Arabidopsis thaliana: one gene and its partners. The protein of the gene in region 1 interacts with the protein of each later gene in a biochemical or structural test. Each region holds a gene or a part of one and is shown on either strand. Other genes may lie near its edges.

Region 1 (7,206 bases):
ATCTTTTAATGACACCTTGGTGAACTGTTTTGCATAAATTTCAAGTTAGTTAAAAAAAAAAGGGAAGATAGTTCTGTATATAATGTTGCAGTTTTGATTTGTTTCTCAAACACTAAAAACCAAAATTAAAATTTTGCAACCTTCAAATTATACTTTACAACTTTTTCAAAAGGCAATAGAATAATTTCAAGATTAGCTAGTGGATTAATGAAATTCTCTGGTTCATGAATTCTGAAATAACAAAAAAAAAAGAAAAAGAAACAAAGGTTAATACGTTTTGTCACGTTACGTCGTTTTTGCCCTCGACAAGACATTATGAACGATCAATTCATTAGCCCTAATTCTAAATGACGAGTACTCTACCAACCATTAATTTTGTTAACATCATACGATATAATGTTGACGAATGACGATAATATCTAGAAAAAATTGAATTCTTAGAGGTGACTTTTAAAATATGTCATACCAAAGAAATATATCATGTCCACTAAAACGTCTTCACTTTAATCGATCGTAAAAACATCAAGAATCCGTTTGCTCTCCCTCTCCAACATGAGTATCCTCATTTTTTTTTAACAAAAACTTTTTAATATATACTTTAAAATTAGATTTCAATATTAGCAAAAAACCATTAATTTCTATATCGATGAATAAAATTTTGATTTGGTTATAAGAAAAAACATTAGCTTAAATAAAATTTGTTGAAACATAAACGCTTGATAGAGAAAATGTTTTAGAAAAAAAAACCAAAGAGAGAAGAAAGAAACGGCGACGAGGCGCCGCGACAAGTTGGATGAGGAAGTGGGAAACACGTGTGAATATATCATCCTATCTCTCTATGTTTATCCTCATATCCCACATCTTCACAATGTTTTTTGTATCTCTTTATCATCATTTGTTGATAATGTCTAATATTTATATTTGGAAATTAATGATTGACAATTGACTTGAGACGTTTTCGTTTTTTATACTCTAGAGAATTGACTGAACATCTCGATCGAGAGAACTCATCTTCCCATAATACTAAGTTACTTGAATGTTGTTTTACACGATCTTGTAGACCATAGTAGTTTTGATCAACAAAATATCATTTTACAAACGATAGAAAGATAGAGAGCATGGAGTGTATTTTTTCACAATGTCTGTATTTTAATTAACAGATGGCAAGCATGCATACTATAATATTAATCTAGTTAGACAGGTCAATATGAGGATACTTCTACATTCTACATATTTGACCTTCGTCCTCTCAGCGAATAGAAGAGCCATAATATACAGTACATATTATGATATAATGTGGAATTGTGGATATACAAGTCTATCCATTTTCGGATTTTCCTTATCTTTCATACTTTTATCCACTGGTCCAGATATGATGAAGTCAAACTAGTGATTGTAGTAATTTAGATTTTGAAAACAGAATAATTTGCTATCTAAGAAATAACAAGCAAAACGTTTGGCAAAAAAAGATAAAAACCAAGCCAAGAATTTTTGGTCTTGTTTCTTGACTCTTGATTTTTTACTTAAAAAGTGGAAACTTTATGACACTTAAATGTGTGTATTGTTGTAACCTATACATTTTTCTTTTTCTTTTCTTCTCAAGTCTATACTCTAAAAAACTATAACAAAGCTTGTTTTCTCTCTTTTTATAGTTTAAATTCCATTTAAGGAAATGTACCGGTCAAGCGAATATGGTCGAGGGTTCGCCTCAGACCATGCTTAAGAACTGCTTGGTTACCTTGCCTGAACCCATCCCCATATGCCGATGAAGAATCCGACTCGATTTGATGCTTGAAAAACTCACCAAGTTTCTTCTCAAAATCAGACCTCTCACCTTTCTTGGACGATGCTGACACCACAGCAGATGATGAAGAAGATGCGATGTCTACTAATGTAGAGCCAGCATAAGTCTCAGATTCCAACCACATGTGTGCTAAAACTTGACATATTCCTTCTTCCACTTCTGGTCTAAGATTTGGATACCCTACAGATATACACAGAGCAACAAAACATTTTTTGATATTTCCCTACGTTCAATTGCTCAACATAATGAGAAGGGAGTGTTCTTCAGATTACCATTTAGTCGAAGCCATGCATGCATCATCTCATGAGCAAGGATTGACCCGGTTAACAAACTGTACAAGTGTAATACGAAAATTTTAGATATCTTATAAAGACAAAAATTTGGTTTAGGAGTGTGTTGAGAAGTGTTTTTCTTTTACCGAGGAAGTCCATATAAAATGAGAATCGCAGTGACTTCACAACGACGTATCAGCCTGCAAGGCTCTGTGATCATGTCTATTAACTTGTAGCCTGCCCCAATTCTTGGTCTCCTTAACACCTATATCAACATCTTTCTGATTCAGAAGCAATTTGTGGTGGATAGCAATTCATTACAAACTTGGAAGAATGAATACCGTGGTGACAGTTTGTTCTTCAGACAAACAAAGTCCTCTAGTTTCAGGTAAATGATGATGTCCCTGCAGCAAAATTAGATAGAAGTAGGTTGAAACAAATGAGCGAGAGAGAAAGAGAGAGTATAAACATAGTATCAATAAGATATAGAGGTTTTACGTGTTTCTCTCCTTCCATAGCTTCGTTTAGAGCTGATCTCTCCACCAAAAGCATAGGAATTTGCTGTTCCACTTTCATATGTAAGCCTTCGTAAAATTCACGTATCTCAAGGTACAATGGTTGGCATTCATGAGTGTCCATAATGGCTGAGTCGAGACATTCAAGACACAGTTTTCGACCATCATCAAGAATGAGATATTTTGTATCTTTTGGCTGAAACCATGAGCCAAAAACAGAACAACATCTGGTTTTCGAATCAGATTCTTAAATTTATTTTCCTATTAACAGAAATGCTATATCGAACAACTGACCTCCATTCGCTCACAACTGCAACACCGAGGAGTTCCATCACGCTCATGTGAAGGACAATACTTTTGCATCCAAAAGGGATGTGCCCTATACTCAATAAGACCAGCTGGATTTGTCGGAATCTAGAGGAGTTACATTTATACATACACATTAAGCTTAGTACAACCTGGGAACAAATTTTGGGTAAAATATAGAGATCAACAGAAGTTGGCTATCACTCACAAAGTTATGGCAAACATCACATTTAGGATGATGCTGCTCCTTGTAACATAATTTGTGATAAGGCCGATTTCCTGACATTGAGAACTGTAAAACAAAGCTTGAACAGGTTAAGCTTCAAAAGAATCAGGAGGATACAATAATAATACTTAATAAAATGTATAGGGACCTCATAATCTATGATGGGCTTATCACATGCATTGCAACAGAAACATTCAGGATGCCAAACGCCACCCATGCAACTCAGAAACCTTCCATGTCCTATCTCAGCTTGGCAACCGACACATATCCTCCAAGAAAATAAACAAAGAAACAAAATTGACTCATTGGAGCTAATGTGATCATGCATCATATCACTATCTAGAGATGATAGTGTCTGAAAATCTAAGAAATGGACATTAATGTATTTTTGAACCATTTACCTGTGACTAGAAGGAATGAGGAAGGGATATGGTTGAAGTATATTTCCTGGATCATATCGAGGAGGAGATCCCACATTCATACTTTCTTGAAGGGCCTTGGCGAGTAGCTCATCTTCCTCCAGTTGGGCTTTAGAACGCCTCATTTCTTCCTCTTCTAATCGAGCTTTTGCAAGCAGTTTCTCTGTTTCTTCTAGTTGAGCTTCAGCTCTCCTTTTCTCTTCTTCCTCGATTTGAGCTTGAGCTACCCGTCTTTCCTCTTCCTCTGCTGCTTCTAGCTGAGCTCTCATGTATTCTTCATCCTCATCCTCATCGTCATCGTCATCTTCTTCGGTTTCAGATTTGTACTCTACAGAATATAAGGTTTAAGAAACAATTTAAGCAAGTTACATTTCCACACATAACTTTCTTTCTTCTCTTTGTTTTTCTCTATGCATTACCAACGGAGAATTAAACAACATTACCGATTATTTTCTTTCCTTTGTCATCTTGTGGAATTACATGTTCTTGTTCAGAAAGAGAAAGTGCAATAGCACATTCAATCTCCTCTTTGTCAAAATCAGATCCTTCCTGAATCAGAAATTCAAGAAACCCTTTTATCTTCAATTCAAAATGAACCAAAAAACAGTAAAGTTCACTTACCGCAGAATAACGAGGACCTTCCAAGTTTCTATCTTCTCTATATCTTCCATTACATTGTCCATCAGAAAACTTATGGCTAGAACCTTTAAGGATTTTAGTTAGCCACCCCATTGGCAACAACAATCCCTTACCTGCATAGAGAAACACTGTTATACATCCAAGAAAGAGAAGAAACTCCATGTCTTTTGTTTTTTTGTTTTTCCTTAATCAAGGATTAAGACAATAATTGGTAAGAAAGAATCAGACTGATCCAACAAAGAAAGTTAAATAATATGCAAATGGCAAAACAGCAATTGAAGAAGGTATTATTATAGGGAGATTGCATCAAATATAAAAGGGTTACCGAAATCTTAAAGACTGAATTGAAAATAAGGAACCAAAGTACGGAGCTTATTACAAACAATCTCAAGACCCTAAATTGTAATAATATCCAGAAAAAGATTATCCACATCATCCTCAAAACAATCAACCTAATCTACATTCATCATTCCAAATACCCATAAGAAGAAAAATGAAATCTTTATGAAGTTTATTACTGTTAAAGAAAAGGAATCTAAGTACAAGTCAAAAACAGAGTAAAGAGAAATCGCAAATTACCTGAAGGAGATGACAATAAAATTAGCAAAATTAGATGACCCTATGGATCAAAAAAGGAAACTCAATAAACATGATTCTTCAACTTCTCTCGATCACCCTAAAAATCAGGACTTTCTTAGGGAATTGACAGCAGAAACAGAGCAGCAATAGAGAGAGAGAAAGTGAAGGGAGACACTTGAATTCGAAGCAAAACCCTTTAGCTTTTAGAACCCGTGACTGTTAATTATCTTAAAAAGCGTGAAGAAAGCTTAATAAATGGAACAGAATAGAGAGAGAGAGATGAGTAGAGGATAAATCTCCATTAAACACACTTAAAGGTAAGAACTTTATGGAGAAGATGATGGAAATTGTTACGTTTTTTTTGGTTGGGAAGGTCAAGCAAGTGGGCACTTGTTTACAAAAAAAAAAACTAATCATATTATTTTACGGAAGAAATTATTAAGAAGGTTTATAGAAATCAAATGTTTGAAAAATTAAGAGAGAAGAAAAAAAAGAGCTGATGTTTACTAGCATTAACACTAGTGACACACAATCTTTGACTCTCCTCTAATTTACTCTTCTTTAGCCTTTTTTCAACACTCCTAAGTTGATGATTTTGCTCATGACTTTTACTATTCACAATAAAATACCGTTTTTTTCTTTCACATCAAATTTTTAATTAAAATTAATAGAAAAAAGTAAAATAAAACAAAAGTTTAATATACTTCAATGAATAATAACTCGCACATGAATGGAATAAATTTTGTGTCCAACACATCACCCTGTTCGAAATCCCCTGGTCTGTAAACCCAATTTTACACAAAAATACAAAGCAGAAATATAGAAACTGAAAAAAATCATTGAAAATTGTTAGTAGGTAAGGTTATCTAATACTTTATTTAGCTCAACCTAATGCATTATTTAGTTACATACGACCAAATTAATTGGAAAAATATAGACAATATTATCTGGATAATTAGATGAGATGACCCATTGCTAATCACAATTGTACATTACAGTTTCTTATATATATTATTATTTTATTTTTGTGGTTGAGATTAAATTTTGTTAGAAGGATCAAGAGAATTCGGTGGGTTCAATATAAAACCACATGTGAAAAAAAAAACGTGTATATTGTGATTAGCCAATCAATTAGTTGTTTAGGTGCCCAAACTTACTGTGCCACCGCAAGTTTTATCAAAATTAGGTGCTTAGCAAGATGATTCAACTACTCCAGGATATTTTATTTTCCTCTGTTAATATTTTTTTTTTCTGATTGTTTTATTTTAGTAGTAGTTGAATCAAGTGACGTTCTTTAAATTGTGATCCCACTCACTTCTTACGCAAGCAATGAATTAAAGTACTGCAATAGACAAACTTATTTGTTATATATTGGTCATCAAAGTTATCAATTAGCTTTCCAAAAATTTCACTTTATTCACATCTATAAATCATTGACACTAATACTGATGCCATATATTACTAAAGAAAAAAAGAAAGAAAGATAGTTGTATTATCCAGTGGCCATATATTTTAACCAGGCTTCTTAAGGCCCATATGGTAAATTTGGGCCGACGAATCAAAACCCTTATTGTAGAATAATTTTTAAGTTTAAATCAGTTACAGATAGTTGTATTATCAGTGGCCATATATCATATAATGATTGTGGGCTGGGTTTTTTTTTTTTTTGTCTAACAATTTTTGACGATAATATCTTTAATATTGAGCTACAAACAATTTTCATTTTAAAAAAATGCGCCGTTGAATCAAATAGAAAACAGAGAAATCATGTTGAAAAAAACAAAACAGTTAATTTAGAAAATAAAAATTTATGTATTGACAAAAATCCATTTTCATATTATATAATTACTCCCTTTTGACAAGAGAAGTTATTATTACTCTTCGACCATATCAATTTCTAAATTATTTTTAAGCATAAAAATAAAAAGAGTAAAAAAGATTTTGAAGCTTGGTGATGAAAAGTTGAAAACACAGGCTGTCACGCTGGATGATCAAAACACGTGGCACATTGAGGAACGTTGATCCCAGCATGGACCACAAATCCCACGTGGCCATGGCCATCCCTTGCCGGTTTTCCAGGTGGACCAATCAAAATTAATATGTCTCTTAGGACCATTTTTTTTATATGTACACGTTTTCATTTTGAAAACATATTGATAAGGAAAAATAAATCAAGCATTTTTTTAGTTGTAGATTACAACGACGGTGTGACTGGTTCGCTGCTTCTTTTTTCCATTGGGGACTTCTATAATTTAGTCACTACCAATAAATCATTCATCATAATTTAATTGCAAAGTACAGATATCTCCTAAACATGTTTATCAAAAAATGTTACTCCGTGTTCATCTACGATTTATATAAATATTAGAGATATAACACTACGGTCCTTATACATAAAAGAACTGAATTAAGTGTTTTGTATAATATTTTCTTATGTATTTATATA
Region 2 (5,533 bases), on another chromosome or scaffold:
ATTCATAATATCTTCTGATCATATTTGTGAATCGTAATTGTTTTGCTTTTTAGATTTGTCAAATATGCACAACACCTTTTAACTATCAATTCGTTTTCTTTTCTGTTTAGTCTTTGATATATAGTTTTCTTGATATTTTGATTGGTTTACTAATTACTACAAGCAGGCCGATACTTTTAGTTATTTATATTTTACGAGGGAAAATTATGGTCAATGAACATATTCTAGTTAAAACATAAAAAGATATCACATATATAAGTAATTAAAATATAAAATTTTGTCATTTGTAAATATGTTTGGGCGAAAATGTTTGGACATCCCATAGGTTTTATGTGGCTATGCGTAAAGTTTCTAATAGTTAGACTAATCAACGTTCCTAAGAGATCATCAGAACTAGTTACACCTTACACGTAACGTTAATGATTCGTCTAAACTAAGAGACGATAATTAGCCACAATAGAAAATACTATATTTTGATTTTTGAGAAGTTTTATCTTCATAAAGCTTAGACATTTGAAAAAGAATAGTAAGATTATAACAAATATATTTTACAATTTTCAATATATACTAAGAAAGATGAATTTGCCTAAACTCAAAATTAATATGTGTAAGAATTTTTATAATTGGTTTTCTCCATTTCTTTTAACAAAATCATATGTATATTCAAATATACTACCTGGCAATTATTATATGCATGCTTATGTTGGTTTATGTAATAACTTGGATTTATTTTGTTACACTCAATTTCTATAAAACACAAATTTGAGATTTTTAAAAAATATTTATTTAAAATATCTTCATAATAATTCGAATTTACTTTTATATTATTTTTTTCTTTTGTATTCTCTAATTCAATTATATTTTTAACGTTACCATATATATATATATATATATATATATATATATATTACGCTGGTCCTAATTAGTAGTATAATCTATGTAACACCGTATATTTTGATTCTTTGAACAGCTTATATGAATAATCATCACATAAGAAGGAGCCTTCTTCATCACTATTCACTACATATAAAAATTCGTTTCAGAAAAAAAAGATCAATGTTCTGTCCACATCAGAGTATCAAAATAATTTTCTAAATTTAGTGCTACATCTTTTAACGACAATTGTATGTCAATGAGATAACTCCAATGGTGGAAACAAAAGAGAAGCATTACAAATTTGCTTTTATATATCTATAAAGCACTGTAACTATGGTTTTATAAATAATAATATCAAACTGGTAACTCATTCAAGAGTCACAGAGGAGAAAAAACAATCCATCTGTTTCATAAAAAAAGCAGTTGGATTCTATTATATCATGTGGATCTCGTGAACTACCATAGAGCCATGGATTAATCACTGTCATTCTGTCAATAATAATTCTATCTATTTATTATTCTGTTGTCACATATGTACAAAATATATGTAAACTTCTCAGTTCTGTCTGAATCGCTGAAATTTTCGCTAAATGTGCAATTAATTTCCCGATCGCTTGAAGTTAACAGTTACGACGAGAAACTGACGTCACTTTTTAATTATTGTAAAGAATGAAAAAGAGTGTTCGTATAGGGTAATTGTATTATTGTAAAAAACTATGTATCCAAACACAATAAATACACGAACAACATTTATTTTCACTCACTTTGATCACTGTACGTAATAAGGAAAAACATTTTATTTGAATGAATATTTGTACAGATTGGAGAACCACGTAAGCCCATCTCTTTTATTTCCAAAAATAACGAAAAATTCTCAAAGGGAATAGTTTATAATGTAAATAAAATTCCAAAAATAAAACACAAAAGATATAAAGCAGCAAGAGAAAAAAAAAGTCCATGCTTTCATATTCATTGCTTTAATCTCTCTCTCTCTCTCAGACATAGACACAGCTAAGCTTCCCATCTGAAAGGAGTTTCATGTCCTAAGGACCATATTATAACCTCTCTATCTCTCTCTAAGTATCAGCAAAAAAACAGAGATTTATAGAGAGAGAAAAAAACTATGGCTCACATAAAGATCTAACAGAGACAGTAGTATAGTCCCACTTCCCCACCACCAAAGCTTCGATCATCATCATCATCATCATCATGGATCCGGATCCGGATCATAACCATCGACCCAACTTCCCTCTCCAGCTTCTTGATTCTTCTACCTCCTCCTCTTCCACTTCCTTAGCCATCATCTCTACTACTTCCGAACCTAACTCCGAACCTAAGAAGCCTCCTCCTAAACGAACCTCTACTAAAGACCGACACACCAAAGTCGAAGGCCGAGGCCGTCGGATCCGTATGCCTGCCATGTGTGCTGCACGTGTCTTTCAGCTCACACGTGAGCTTGGTCACAAATCCGACGGTGAAACTATTGAGTGGCTACTCCAACAAGCAGAACCAGCGGTTATAGCCGCTACAGGGACTGGAACCATTCCGGCTAACTTCACTTCTTTAAACATCTCACTTCGTAGCTCAAGATCTTCTCTCTCTGCTGCTCATCTTCGTACAACTCCTAGTAGCTATTACTTTCATTCACCACATCAGTCCATGACTCATCATCTTCAACATCAGCATCAGGTTCGTCCCAAGAACGAGTCACATTCTTCGTCTTCTTCTTCTTCACAGCTTTTAGATCACAACCAAATGGGTAACTATCTAGTACAATCAACTGCTGGATCTTTACCTACGAGTCAGAGTCCTGCAACGGCACCGTTTTGGAGTAGTGGTGACAACACACAGAATCTTTGGGCTTTTAATATTAATCCTCATCATTCCGGTGTTGTCGCCGGAGATGTTTACAACCCCAACAGTGGTGGTAGTGGCGGCGGTAGTGGAGTTCATTTGATGAATTTTGCAGCTCCTATTGCTTTGTTTTCTGGACAGCCTTTGGCTTCTGGTTATGGAGGAGGAGGAGGTGGCGGTGGAGAACATAGCCATTATGGAGTTTTAGCGGCGTTGAATGCTGCTTACCGACCGGTGGCGGAGACGGGGAACCATAACAACAACCAGCAAAACCGTGACGGAGATCATCATCACAACCATCAAGAAGATGGAAGCACCAGTCATCATTCCTAGGCAAACATACACAAACAAATATATTCTGTGAGATTTATTTTTCTTTTTTTGTCCTTTCGTTTGTTTGTTTGTTCTTAACAAGCGTGTTTTTTTTGCATTGCTTCTTTTTCATATATTTTTATTTATTTCTAAATTCTAATATTCTACGGATTTCATCTTGTTTATTTTTCTGATTAATGTATTGAGTAAGTAATTAAGAACCTGATAATCGATATGTTTTAGTTTGTGGTTTTTGCATGCAAGGCTTTGGTTTTATTATTCTAGAGATTTTTGCTTGAAGTAGTTGTCTTGTGAAATGTTTTCCTCATTACTATTGAGTGTGAGAGTTTTCTAATACTTGATTAGGGTTTTTGAACAATTTTTATATATGTATATTAATTCAGTACGGATTATCAATAAATTATTTCGCATGCCAAATTATTATCTTCCACTTCGTTCATGGTTACATTGTCTCGAAGAAGCTACATCTTATGCATTGTGAGCAATTATTCAGGTTCTAGCTATCTCTTTTAATATGTTAATTTCTTTGCATGATTAACATCTTACTCCTGACTGGTCTATTGGTGACTATGCTAAGATAATGTAGATATATATAGTAACAAAATCATATAGGTCAAAGCATTAAGTGTGATTGTTTTGGTTAATTATAAGTGTGTTGACGAGGGGATGCATTGTAGATATGATGCCATATTAATGCCAGTAGGTTTATGCGCATGGTGGTTTGGATACGTTCAATTTATAGCCGTTGCAAAAATTGAAGGCATTTAATTTTGCTAATGATATTACCAAAATTATTTGATTATGAATCAAAAGATACAAGGAGAATTATCAAAAAAAAAATATATAGGTCCATTATCCGTATAAGGTAGCTAAGAACTTAATTAGTCTGGTGCTATGTTTGAAGACTCACGTACGATTTACAATCTCTGGATCTATGAAACTCATCACCAAGCAGGAACCTGTATTTATACGTCAATATTTGTGAATTTTCGGATACCCAAAAAATACCAAGAATATATATTTCATTTTCTGCTGAAAATCAGAGAAAAATGTGTTTTAAAAACAATGTCTATAAACAAATTTATAGATTGAAGTTAGAACTAAAAACTTTTGATGGTTATAGATTTCAGCTTGATCATTTATTTCTGAAGTGTTTTCGTTGGATGAAACATAGATTATATATGTCTATAATTAATTGAGACATATACATTGATGATATACAAAATAACCAGGAATTTTTCGTTATACAGAAAAATACACAAGTCTATGTAACATGCGTAATAACCATATGGTCCATATCGCTGCATTTTGTGTCGGTCTACATTATTGGATTTATTTTAGTATAATGTATGTGATACGTTCTTACCATGCATGGGTATACATAGAGAAAGGTGTATAAATCAACGAGCATGGGAATTATGACGTTAATAATTCTAAAATAATGCACACACATCCTGTTAATATAAACAATATAAATTATATATCAGTTTATTATGGAAATAATACTTGAAACTTCTATAGATCGGTGTGAACCATTCCTTGACATCATAGGCATGTCGGTTATATAACCTCATCCATATGTTCTATCAATTAATCAAATATGGTAATTAAAGAAAGTCAAATATTGTGACATACATGCATTTTTTTTTACTAACGGTTGATATCAAGCATTTATAGACGAACGTCTATTTGATGATCTCAATAATCATATCAATTGGCGGCTAAACTAAACTAGATTTCACGATGACAAAAGTAAAATGTATATATAGACACTAAAACACAGATGATGTCATGAATCTTTTTTGATATTTGTATATTATTGTTTACGTATTACTTTCTAGATAAACAATAAGATACGAGTCATGACCGATCATTGTTTCTATGTCGGCGTTTTATTTTATAGTAAAAAGAAATCTGCAACAAAAGGAAAGGGCACAACAAGTAGATCAAGTAGTAGTAATCTGGCATTACTCAATAGGTCCAAAAGGAATTAAAATGTTCACTAAAGTATGCTTAAAATATAGATGTATGGATCTACGTAGTTATAAGTAGTTAAGTACCATTATAGAAGAGTGTATTCATGTGGGTTCTTTGTTTTTGATCTGGAAAAGATTAGATGATCATCATTCCATCACTTGCTTATCTATTTTGTTTAATCATTCTTCTTCTTCACTATAATCATTCTATATATTTCTGGAAGATATCATGATAAAGAAGATATATTTATCTATAATCACAAAATGTTTTGAACCTTTTCATTTATGAAAGAAAAAGAACTAATTAGATGATACTTTTCTAAGTTCCAGCCCAGTTTGGATAGTGAATATATTTTCTCCATCCCCATTGATTGGTATTGATGGGCTAGATATATGACATGGGATCTCATAAGGCCTATTTATTAAATGTTTTGTAAGGCCCACGTATTGGGCTAAGAGAAAAAAAAAAGAGAGTACTCAAGTATAGGTTTGTG
Region 3 (5,396 bases), on another chromosome or scaffold:
TAGCTTCCAATGAGAGCTTCTGGCAATTCATGAGTCTGCATATGTGCTCTCTCTCTGAATCAGTAATCCACGGATGCGCCTGCAAAATTTGCAATCCAGCATCAAAATCTTAATACATGGACTGGTTAAAATTAGAAACAGTATCTTTATTACCTTCAGGTACACGTCAATTGCGTGATAAACTCCATCATCTAGTGGCCTTGCATAGTCAGGGATTGCAGCAGCAATGGCTTCGAACTTCGCCAGCTTCAGGTTCACATCGGGTGCCACCTCAGCAAGATAACCGTCAACAAGAGTTGCCACTAACGTTGTTGGAGTTAGCAAATCAGCTCCATCCTTCACCAAATGTCCTTCTTCGATGATGCAAGGAGAAGGGACAATGCCTGCTTGTTCCGTTGACGAAACAAACTGTTCGATCATTCTCAAGACGCATTCAACATCGTAAAGCGTTTCAGAGTATCCCATGTTTGGTATAAGAAGATCAACTAGAGCAGCTTGGTCTAACTGATTTCCAATTCGTCTCTCCAGATTCTCCCTCGAGGATTGGCTTGCGTGAAGCACCATTGCAGTTTGAAGCAGCCTGAGAAGAAACTTGGTCGGGTTTACACCTTTCTTGCTTGGAAGCAACCCGACAATCTCTTCAAGACAAGTTTTTTGGTCTTCTTCAGAAGGATTTGGTGTCTCAATCACTTGCTCATCCATGTTTACTTGTCTATTCATCAGAGGAACATGTTTCCTTGTATAGTACATAACCGCCATCGCTATATTCTCGAGCTTCATGCCACGTGCTTCAATAGCGGTAATGAGTCTTTTAAAGAGAGGCAAGCTAAGAAAAGAAGCGTCATCAAACCACCAATCTTCACCAGTATGTTGCAGCATCTTTCCAGAGGCAGAGATTCCATTCCACAAATGCGATTCATCTTCAGTGTTCTGCCCGCTCGTTGCGTTCTTTCCTCCTCCCACGGGCCAATTGAAAAGGCTTGGATCAGCGCACGCTTTGACAGCTAACGAATCAACACACCTGGAGATAATGTGAAGATCTTCAGCGTAATCAATCACTTCCTCACATGTCTGAAGAGCTTTGATCGAGTCAGTCCAGTTCCCAAACACCTCGTTGAGGAAAGTCTCAGTCATACCAACAAGATTCCCTTCTCCATAGTTATCAGTCATCTCAAGGTACTCAGCTGCACATCTAAGGCTAACAACATTGAAAGCAGTAAGCTCAATTTTCACACCGTAGCAGAATTTGGTAACAAGCTCAAACGTTTTGCCGCCTCCCGGTATCTCATCTAAGCTCAACACACAGCCTGATCCATCATCAGTTGAAGACTCTTCGATTAACCTCTCAAGAAGCCCACTTCTAGATAGTAACGGAAACTACACACAAATCAAGAACACACATTACACAGTTAGATCATCAAGCTTTCACATTTATGCAATTACATCAAAACTAGGACTAAATAAACAGAGAAGATAGAGAAAATTTAACCTTGTGGAGATGAAACTTCATGTCTCCAACTTCAATGGTAACATCACTCACGAGTCCTGTAGTGCAAAGCCTGTAAGACAAGAGAGAGACATAAACCACCACCCAAAACAGAATATACTTGTCCGTACAAAATTGATTATTGATGTCACAAATCAATCAGAGCTAAATTCCAAAAAAAATATGATCTTTGAAACTTGCATCAATAACTAACGATTCTAGGAAGAGCCCATTTCGATTTCAACAAAAAGATGAGAGCTTGATTACATATAAAATCAAGAGAAATTAACGACATTGAAGAGAATTCGATCTCGAAACCGGAAACAAAGACTTATAAGTCGATTAGTCTAATTCAATGCAGAAGAAAGAATACCAGGTTTGGCCTTCACGATGGAAAGCTTCGGATTTGGAGCCAAGTCTCATAAACGCCATTGTGGAAGAAAGTCTTGAGTTGGTGGTAATGTAACAGAGTAGTAAGAACAGAGAAGAGAGAGAGTGTGAGATACATGAATTGTCGGGCAACAAAAATCCTGAACATCTTATTTTAGCAAAGAGAAAGAGTTCCGAGTCTGTAGCAGAAGAGTGAGGAGAAATTTAAGCTCTTGGACTTGTGAATTGTTCCGCCTCTTGAATACTTCTTCAATCCTCATATATTCTTCTTCTATGTTACCTGAAAACCGGCATTTAATCTCGCGGGTTTATTCCGGTTCAACATTTTTTTTGTTTTGAGTTATTATCTGGGCTTAATAACGCAGGCCTGAAATAAATTCAAGGCCCAACTGTTTTTTTTTTTAAGAAGTTGCTGTTAAAAAAAAAAAAAGGGAATTAACAACAACAACAAAAAAAGATAAAGAAAATAATAACAATTACTTTAATTGTAGACTAAAAAAACATAGATTTTATCATGAAAAAAAGAGAAAAGAAATAAAAACTTGGATCAAAAAAAAAAACATACAGATCTTCTAATTATTAACTTTTCTTAAAAATTAGGTCCTTTTTCCCAACAATTAGGTTTAGAGTTTTGGAATTAAACCAAAAAGATTGTTCTAAAAAATACTCAAATTTGGTAGATAAGTTTCCTTATTTTAATTAGTCAATGGTAGATACTTTTTTTTCTTTTCTTTATTAGAGTAGATTAGAATCTTTTATGCCAAGTATTGATAAATTAAATCAAGAAGATAAACTATCATAATCAACATGAAATTAAAAGAAAAATCTCATATATAGTATTAGTATTCTCTATATATATTATGATTGCTTATTCTTAATGGGTTGGGTTAACCAAGACATAGTCTTAATGGAAAGAATCTTTTTTGAACTTTTTCCTTATTGATTAAATTCTTCTATAGAAAAGAAAGAAATTATTTGAGGAAAAGTATATACAAAAAGAAAAATAGAAAAATGTCAGTGAAGCAGATGTAATGGATGACCTAATCCAACCACCACCATAGGATGTTTCTACTTGAGTCGGTCTTTTAAAAACGCACGGTGGAAAATATGACACGTATCATATGATTCCTTCCTTTAGTTTCGTGATAATAATCCTCAACTGATATCTTCCTTTTTTTGTTTTGGCTAAAGATATTTTATTCTCATTAATAGAAAAGACGGTTTTGGGCTTTTGGTTTGCGATATAAAGAAGACCTTCGTGTGGAAGATAATAATTCATCCTTTCGTCTTTTTCTGACTCTTCAATCTCTCCCAAAGCCTAAAGCGATCTCTGCAAATCTCTCGCGACTCTCTCTTTCAAGGTATATTTTCTGATTCTTTTTGTTTTTGATTCGTATCTGATCTCCAATTTTTGTTATGTGGATTATTGAATCTTTTGTATAAATTGCTTTTGACAATATTGTTCGTTTCGTCAATCCAGCTTCTAAATTTTGTCCTGATTACTAAGATATCGATTCGTAGTGTTTACATCTGTGTAATTTCTTGCTTGATTGTGAAATTAGGATTTTCAAGGACGATCTATTCAATTTTTGTGTTTTCTTTGTTCGATTCTCTCTGTTTTAGGTTTCTTATGTTTAGATCCGTTTCTCTTTGGTGTTGTTTTGATTTCTCTTACGGCTTTTGATTTGGTATATGTTCGCTGATTGGTTTCTACTTGTTCTATTGTTTTATTTCAGATGCAAATCTTCGTGAAAACACTCACTGGCAAGACTATCACTCTCGAGGTTGAGAGCTCTGACACCATCGACAATGTTAAGGCAAAGATTCAGGACAAGGAAGGCATTCCTCCGGATCAGCAAAGATTAATATTCGCCGGTAAACAGCTAGAAGATGGCCGTACCTTGGCCGATTACAACATTCAGAAAGAATCAACCCTTCATTTGGTTCTCCGTTTAAGAGGTGGTATGCAAATCTTTGTCAAGACTCTGACTGGCAAGACCATTACTTTGGAGGTTGAGAGCTCTGACACTATTGACAACGTCAAAGCAAAGATCCAGGACAAGGAAGGAATCCCTCCGGATCAGCAGAGACTTATCTTTGCCGGTAAGCAGCTTGAAGACGGAAGAACTCTTGCTGACTACAACATTCAAAAGGAGTCGACCCTTCATTTGGTGCTTCGTCTCAGAGGTGGTATGCAAATCTTTGTCAAGACCCTCACTGGTAAAACAATCACCCTTGAGGTTGAGAGTTCAGACACCATTGACAATGTCAAAGCTAAGATCCAAGATAAAGAGGGAATTCCTCCGGATCAGCAGAGGCTTATCTTTGCCGGTAAGCAGCTCGAAGATGGACGCACCCTTGCAGATTACAACATCCAAAAGGAGTCGACACTTCATCTTGTGCTTCGTCTCCGTGGTGGTATGCAGATCTTTGTGAAGACCCTTACCGGAAAGACCATTACTCTGGAGGTTGAAAGCTCAGACACCATCGATAATGTCAAGGCTAAGATTCAGGACAAGGAAGGGATCCCACCAGACCAACAGAGACTCATCTTCGCTGGAAAACAGCTTGAGGATGGTCGCACACTTGCAGATTACAACATCCAGAAGGAGTCGACTCTTCACTTGGTTCTTCGTCTTCGTGGTGGAAGCTTCTAAGCTTTTTGTGATCTGATGATAAGTGGTTGGTTCGTGTCTCATGCACTTGGGAGGTGATCTATTTCACCTGGTGTAGTTTGTGTTTCCGTCAGTTGGAAAAACTTATCCCTATCGATTTCGTTTTCATTTTCTGCTTTTCTTTTATGTACCTTCGTTTGGGCTTGTAACGGGCCTTTGTATTTCAACTCTCAATAATAATCCAAGTGCATGTTAAACAATTTGTCATCTGTTTCGGCTTTGATATACTACTGGTGAAGATGGGCCGTACTACTGCATCACAACGAAAAATAATAATAAGATGAAAAACTTGAAGTGGAAAAAAAAAAAAACTTGAATGTTCACTACTACTCATTGACCATAATGTTTAACATACATAGCTCAATAGTATTTTTGTGAATATGGCAACACAAACAGTCCAAAACAATTGTCTCTTACTATACCAAACCAAGGGCGCCGCTTGTTTGCCACTCTTTGTGTGCAATAGTGTGATTACCACATCTCCACATTCAATATATTCCCTGAATTATCTGACGATTTTGATGGCTCACTGTTTTCCCAAGTCTTGAATTGTCTTCTGTGCGCCAGTCAAATGCATATGTGTTGAGTTTATCTTTTAAATATCAAGCTTTTGTTTTTAACTTTTGTTTGTAACCAAAAACTCACAGTAGGAGTTTGATCACATAATTTTATGTTTGCCTTTGCAATTTCTAGTGAGTCTTTGATTAAAAGCTTGAAAAGAAAATGCAGCCAAGCTTACCAAGTAAGTTATGTGTATTAACCAGAGGAAGAGAGAATCTTGCAAAATTTCAACAAACACAAAAAGAAGTATTACTACGATTGGTGGAGAAAGAAAACGATTCCAA
Region 4 (6,247 bases), on another chromosome or scaffold:
GTTCCTACTTGTCTATCCAATTAAAAGAAACACGTAACTATACTTTGATTTGAAAACTAATTTTAAATTATATTTTAGGTTAAAATAACATATTCTCTAATTATATGAATCATCCTATTGATATATTCCAAATTTTGAATACATATATAGTACTATATATTATCAGAGACGGATCGTAGTACGAAAAGTTTCTTTTAAGTTTAGATATTACATAAGAACATTAACTGTAAAAGAAAGTATTAGTAATTGTTTATATGATTCTGTCAAGTAACTACGATATAAATTTATTTCAGTTCAGCAGATGTGTTTTACTATTAACTATACAAAATGGTGACACTCGGTAGTCGGTATCTAAACATTTTTGCTGGTACGTATCCAAATTCTAGTTACTTGAAATATCGATGAGATCAATCATCAATATAAATATTACAACAATATACTATCTATTCTAACACAAAGTGTGTATATACTATATTACTATCTAGCTAAGGGCGGGTAGGTCCGGTATCGATCACCCTATTAAAATCAAATTTCAAGAGTATATATATATATAGTAAACCTGCCTGTAAAATGATACTTAAAATGTTAGATTCAATCTTCCAACAATAATTTATTCATTACAATGCAAGTACGTATGTGACTATTGGGGGTGTTAATTATTTCTTACATAAAGGAATAATTATAATTTACAGGACTCATGGTAAGTAATATTTATAATTTAGACCGACCACTTGTGTTTCTGTCATTTTACATTTATGAATATGAACAATCCATTTGATTCCGTCCTAGGTGGGAGTAGACTGCAATCTACAATAATTAATTTATAGTACAAAACCAATTGATTAGTGAATTGGTTTAAGTTATTAAACTAAAAGAAGTAATTATTCAAGGTTGAGCCCTAGCTATAGTGCCAGATATTTTTAATTAAATCCTAATTAAGCATTTAATTAAGACCCCAATAGACGAAACGAAAGCAAGTACCATCATCATATATAATCATGCATATTTATCAAAGTTTTATATTTTATAACAAGAGAGGGAATCCCAAAGCTATCATCATCATCCACATTTACTCTACCATACTTTCGATTCTTTATGCTCTTTTTATAATCTTAATTGTTGTTGAAACTTTTGCTTCTTTATTTTAAATATACGTTTATGGTGCTTATTTAAACAACAAATATGTAATACGTCGAAACAGTTTGTAATATGTGTACGTAATATTAAACTATATCATTTCTTCGAATAATAACACATATCACATATCATATGTTATTTACAAAAATTCTTCATCAAATACATTCATTAACATATATATATATATTTATATATATGACATCTATGATCATATATTTTTATTTTTATCAAAATAGTCATAGTTTCCATATGTATTATTAATAGAGTTTAGTTTACAATATTTCAAAGCCTTAATAAGTAGTTCTTTTACTTTGAAAAAACAAAAATAGACATTTATAATAGAAAAACAGAGAGGTTGGTTAAAATGCTAAAAGTCTCATTTTATTCATACTTTTAGTTTTTTCTTTTTTTTTTGAAAAACCCTATTTATTTGATAACATACATAAATCAACTTTTGGGCAGTGGTGTTACATACCATAGTTCTTCACTTTTTTTGTATAGAGATTTGCTATCTGATTAAATAAAAACGAATAATGCTTGGGTTTAAAATTGTGAATAACAATGATAATGTTTCTAGTTTCCGGCAAAAGTAGCAGGGGAAGAATGATTACGTGAATGATGTAGGACCCAAAACGTTTTGAAATAAATTACTAAATTTTTGACCAAATTGAGTTGTTTAATTTGGAGAGGAGTGTTGGCCCCATCACTCTCTCGTCGACCTCTCCATTGTCTTTATGGAATGAATGATAAAAGAGGACACCTCACGTGGACTCTGCTGCCACAACGACTCTCTCCAACCATATCCCCTTCACATATATGACATATTTTTCTTACATTTACTATATATTAAAGACTCCACATTGTACATTTTTTCATCTCATTTATTAACGCAACGTTCAGATTTTTCCATTTTTAACTAGTCGTGAAAAGTATTTTCGTTGTACGGTGAATATTGTAGCCCTTTTTTACGGTGGGTGTTTTTTTTTTCATTTGATTGATGAGTAAATCTACATCGAGAAAAGAATATAATGAAAGATATACCGAAATCTTTTGATTATGGACAGATTTATTTTGTTTAAACCTTTTTTTTTTTTTACTGTTTTAAAAAGTTGACTAAATGCTTATCTGAGAAAATAATTAACGTGAAAAATAATTTGATATAATTCGGATTAAGTTAACTATAACAGACTGATTTTGATTGAGCAGAAATTAACGTTGAAATATTCACATTGGCTAATTACATCAATTCATTTTTGCGTTGATTAAATGACACTTTCTTTTCTTCAACTATTAAATGATATTCCCATTGTTGACATTTCTCTAAGTATATGATTTTAAGTAATTTTCATAAAGAAGCAATGAACAGTATTTTCATTTGAAAAAAAAAAGATATGTAATGAGATTTTTCTTTTAATTTTTTAATGTTATGTAAAGCTCACCCATATAATTCTCACTCATGATCTTTGTTTCTTTAAGCTTTTCTTCTCCATTGTCTCTCTCTTTCTTATCCTCTCTTTCTCAATCAATTCCTTCAGACTTATACACTTTATTTTTTTTCCCCTCTTGTCGAAAACATCACATATAAATAAAAAACCAAAAACCCTAATTTATAAAATATATATAAAATAGTTATAGCTCCCCACTTATATATGCAAAAGCCAACATCAAGTATCTTAAATGTCATAATGGACGGTGGAGACAGCGTCGGAGGAGGAGGAGGAGATGATCACCACCGTCACCTCCACCATCACCACCGCCCTACTTTCCCTTTTCAACTACTCGGAAAACACGACCCCGACGACAACCATCAACAACAACCTTCCCCTTCCTCCTCCTCCTCTCTATTTTCTCTCCATCAACACCAACAATTATCTCAATCGCAACCTCAATCGCAATCGCAAAAGTCACAACCGCAGACAACGCAAAAAGAGTTATTACAAACGCAAGAGGAATCTGCGGTGGTGGCAGCTAAAAAGCCACCGTTGAAACGAGCGTCGACGAAAGACCGACACACGAAAGTAGACGGAAGAGGGAGGAGAATAAGGATGCCGGCGTTATGTGCAGCTAGGGTTTTTCAGCTAACGCGAGAGCTAGGTCATAAATCCGACGGTGAGACAATAGAGTGGCTTCTTCAACAAGCTGAACCATCTGTAATCGCCGCCACCGGAACCGGAACAATCCCGGCGAATTTCACTTCTTTAAACATCTCTCTCCGTTCTTCAGGCTCTTCCATGTCTCTTCCTTCTCATTTCCGCTCCGCCGCTTCCACTTTTAGCCCTAATAACATATTTTCTCCGGCGATGCTTCAACAACAACAACAACAACAACGTGGTGGTGGTGTTGGGTTTCATCATCCCCATCTACAGGGACGTGCACCTACGTCGTCTTTGTTTCCTGGTATTGATAACTTCACACCAACGACGTCGTTTTTGAACTTTCATAATCCAACAAAGCAAGAAGGAGATCAAGATTCTGAAGAGTTAAACTCGGAGAAGAAAAGAAGAATCCAAACGACGTCGGATTTGCATCAACAACAACAACAACACCAACATGATCAAATCGGAGGATATACACTTCAATCTAGCAACAGTGGATCTACAGCCACCGCAGCCGCCGCGCAACAAATACCGGGAAATTTCTGGATGGTTGCGGCGGCTGCGGCTGCAGGTGGTGGTGGTGGTAATAACAACCAAACAGGTGGTCTTATGACAGCTTCTATTGGTACTGGTGGCGGCGGTGGAGAGCCTGTTTGGACGTTTCCTTCCATTAACACGGCAGCGGCAGCGTTATATAGAAGTGGCGTTTCGGGCGTTCCAAGCGGCGCGGTTTCTAGCGGTTTACATTTTATGAATTTCGCAGCGCCAATGGCATTTCTTACTGGACAACAACAGCTAGCAACAACTAGTAATCATGAGATTAATGAAGATAGTAATAATAATGAAGGAGGAAGAAGTGACGGTGGTGGTGATCATCATAATACACAGAGACATCATCATCATCAACAACAACATCATCATAATATTCTCTCCGGCTTGAACCAGTACGGACGGCAAGTTTCCGGCGACTCTCAAGCTAGTGGATCACTTGGAGGTGGTGATGAGGAGGATCAGCAAGATTAGACACACACAAAAACATTTTAACGGTGGGATTTTCTGCCGACGGCGGTAGCGGTGACGGCGTTCGGCGGCTGTGTAAAACTTTTGTTTTCACCGTTAATTTTTTTTATTTTCTGTAGTAATTTTTTTTGCTAAGTAAAAAAAAAAAAAAAAACACGTGAGATTTTCTTTTTAATTTTGATTTTTTTACTTGATTTTAAATTTGATTTTTCTTGTGAGTGAGTGATTAAATAGTACACGAGATTTTTTATGTCAGGTTTTTTGGATTTTGAGGAGAATATGACACTTTTTTTTATCATTATTGTTTTTAATTGTTTTTTTTCTTCTTCTGATAGTGTCACTGTCGTCTCGATTCTCAATCATCTTCGTTTTCTTTATCCATTAAGAAATTAATTATACATAAAGAAAAATTCTAAAAAGTATTCGTCAAACAATGTTGGTTCCTATAGTAATAATAGTAACATATACATCAAAGTATAATCTTACTGTTTTTTTAGTAACATTACGTTTTTTTAAGTGTTAATACAAAAAAAATTGAGAAACTATTTTATCAAGGAATGAGATGGGCCTCTCTCTATTGGCCCACCAATCTCTGTTATATTTGGCCCTTGAAGTAGTTGTTTCAAAGCTAATAGAAAACAGCAAAGTGTCTCGTTTGTTTTACATGGTCGAACGAAAACGATACAAAAAACATAAAAATATCTCGTTTGATCTTATATGCTATGAAATATATTAAATGCTTTTTTTAGTATATGATTCATTTTATCTCTGTTTCTTTGTCGTTTGTCCCCACTAAACAATCAATCTGATTTTGTATATGATGAGATATCTAATACTATTATATCATGATATTGTTAAAACTGGTTTTGTATATGATGATAATATTATATCAAGACTAGTTTAGACTATGAGAATTAATTAGAAAGTGATATAGTTTGAATGTCGCGTACAAAGTTATGGCTCAAAATTTTGTTTCTTTTTTTTTGACGAAGTACACCAAAAATATTTGATTGTTTCAGTATATTCTTTTTGTGTTTGTATGCCTTTAGAAAGTAATATTAACAATTTGTAAATTGATAGTGTTTAATTAGAACATAATTTACTTTATAAAATCTATTATTATGTTGTGAAAGAAAATATTCACTCAACATCGATCGGTCATATATTCAAGAATCAAGATAAATAATCTGAAGTTTTAAAAATCTGTTTTCGCATGGGTTAAATATAAGTTTTTACAAAAAGGATGAAGACAGAAAACAAATAAAAATAAATGTGAATGCAGACTATATAATATATCATTGAATGTATAAATTATACAAATTCAATAAGTAGAGAAAGAGAGAGAGAGAGAGAGATTGATTGTGGTGCATTAACAAAAAAGAGATTGATTGTGGTGGTGACATGAGGACTGTAGCATTGTAAGGGTCGTGGGACCTAAAACGTTATCAGGTGCAGTGATTGTCGTGTGGACCTCTTTGATTCTCTCATCTCCGTAACCAACGTTCACTTTTTTCCCTCACTGACACCAACAAAATTCTTTCTCTTCTCTTTTCTTTTTCACCACACTCGATCGCTGTAATTAAATATGGCAACACCATTTACCACCATTTACCACCATATACTTTCATATTTCGTTCTGTCTTGTAAACTACATCTGTCAAAGGGATATGAAATGTATATATAATCATATAGTATACATCATCGGACTTGAAGGTTTAGTTACGGAAAGAAAATTTCAACACTAATGTTTGAAATTCGTACGTAATAAACCAATGGATGACACTATTATTATTGTATATATTTATAAATTCTCATGTTGTCATTATGTATTATAGCTAACTCCGATCTAATGTTTTAAATTCGTAATAAATTAATAAACACAGTTTTTGTATATAGTTATAATTCTCACGTTGTCATTATATCATATAGCTAACCCCGATCTCATGTTTTAAATTCGTAATAAATTAATGTATGTCACTACAGTTCTGTATATA

The links.
Region 2: the proteins of AT4G36860 (region 1) and TCP15 form a complex in vitro, tested with the Arabidopsis thaliana proteins (one study listed by BioGRID).
Region 3: the proteins of AT4G36860 (region 1) and UBQ3 form a complex in vitro, tested with the Arabidopsis thaliana proteins (one study listed by BioGRID).
Region 4: the proteins of AT4G36860 (region 1) and TCP14 form a complex in vitro, tested with the Arabidopsis thaliana proteins (one study listed by BioGRID).

Annotation. Positions count from the first base shown.
Region 1 is NC_003075.7:17,356,916-17,364,121, forward strand, and holds AT4G36860 (LIM domain-containing protein), read right to left. Parts: upstream 5,200-7,206; 5' UTR 4,761-5,199; intron 4,295-4,760; 5' UTR 4,275-4,294; coding exon 3,986-4,274; intron 3,871-3,985; coding exon 3,525-3,870; intron 3,393-3,524; coding exon 3,272-3,392; intron 3,190-3,271; coding exon 3,106-3,189; intron 3,006-3,105; coding exon 2,886-3,005; intron 2,788-2,885; coding exon 2,575-2,787; intron 2,481-2,574; coding exon 2,418-2,480; intron 2,342-2,417; coding exon 2,223-2,341; intron 2,136-2,222; coding exon 2,077-2,135; coding exon of another isoform or gene 2,042-2,076; exon of another isoform or gene 1,985-2,041; coding exon 1,665-1,984; 3' UTR 1,456-1,664; downstream 1-1,455. UniProt on the Arabidopsis thaliana protein: Acts redundantly with DA1 and DAR2 to regulate endoreduplication during leaf development.
Region 2 is NC_003070.9:26,214,364-26,219,896, forward strand, and holds TCP15 (TCP family transcription factor), read left to right. Parts: upstream 1-1,645; 5' UTR 1,646-2,085; coding exon 2,086-3,063; 3' UTR 3,064-3,708; downstream 3,709-5,533. UniProt on the Arabidopsis thaliana protein: Transcription factor involved the regulation of plant development. Together with TCP14, modulates plant stature by promoting cell division in young internodes. Represses cell proliferation in developing leaf blade and specific floral tissues.
Region 3 is NC_003076.8:771,113-776,508, reverse strand, and holds UBQ3 (polyubiquitin 3), read left to right. Parts: upstream 1-2,995; 5' UTR 2,996-3,237; exon of another isoform or gene 3,238-3,612; coding exon 3,613-4,533; 3' UTR 4,534-4,849; downstream 4,850-5,396. Other genes in the region: AT5G03250 (Phototropic-responsive NPH3 family protein), read right to left, coding at 1-79, 154-1,377, 1,490-1,559, 1,860-1,918.
Region 4 is NC_003074.8:17,556,218-17,562,464, forward strand, and holds TCP14 (TEOSINTE BRANCHED, cycloidea and PCF (TCP) 14), read left to right. Parts: upstream 1-2,575; 5' UTR 2,576-2,786; coding exon 2,787-4,256; 3' UTR 4,257-5,042; downstream 5,043-6,247. UniProt on the Arabidopsis thaliana protein: Transcription factor involved the regulation of plant development. Binds to the Up1 elements (5'-GGCCCAWW-3') in early light-induced proteins (ELIPs, e.g.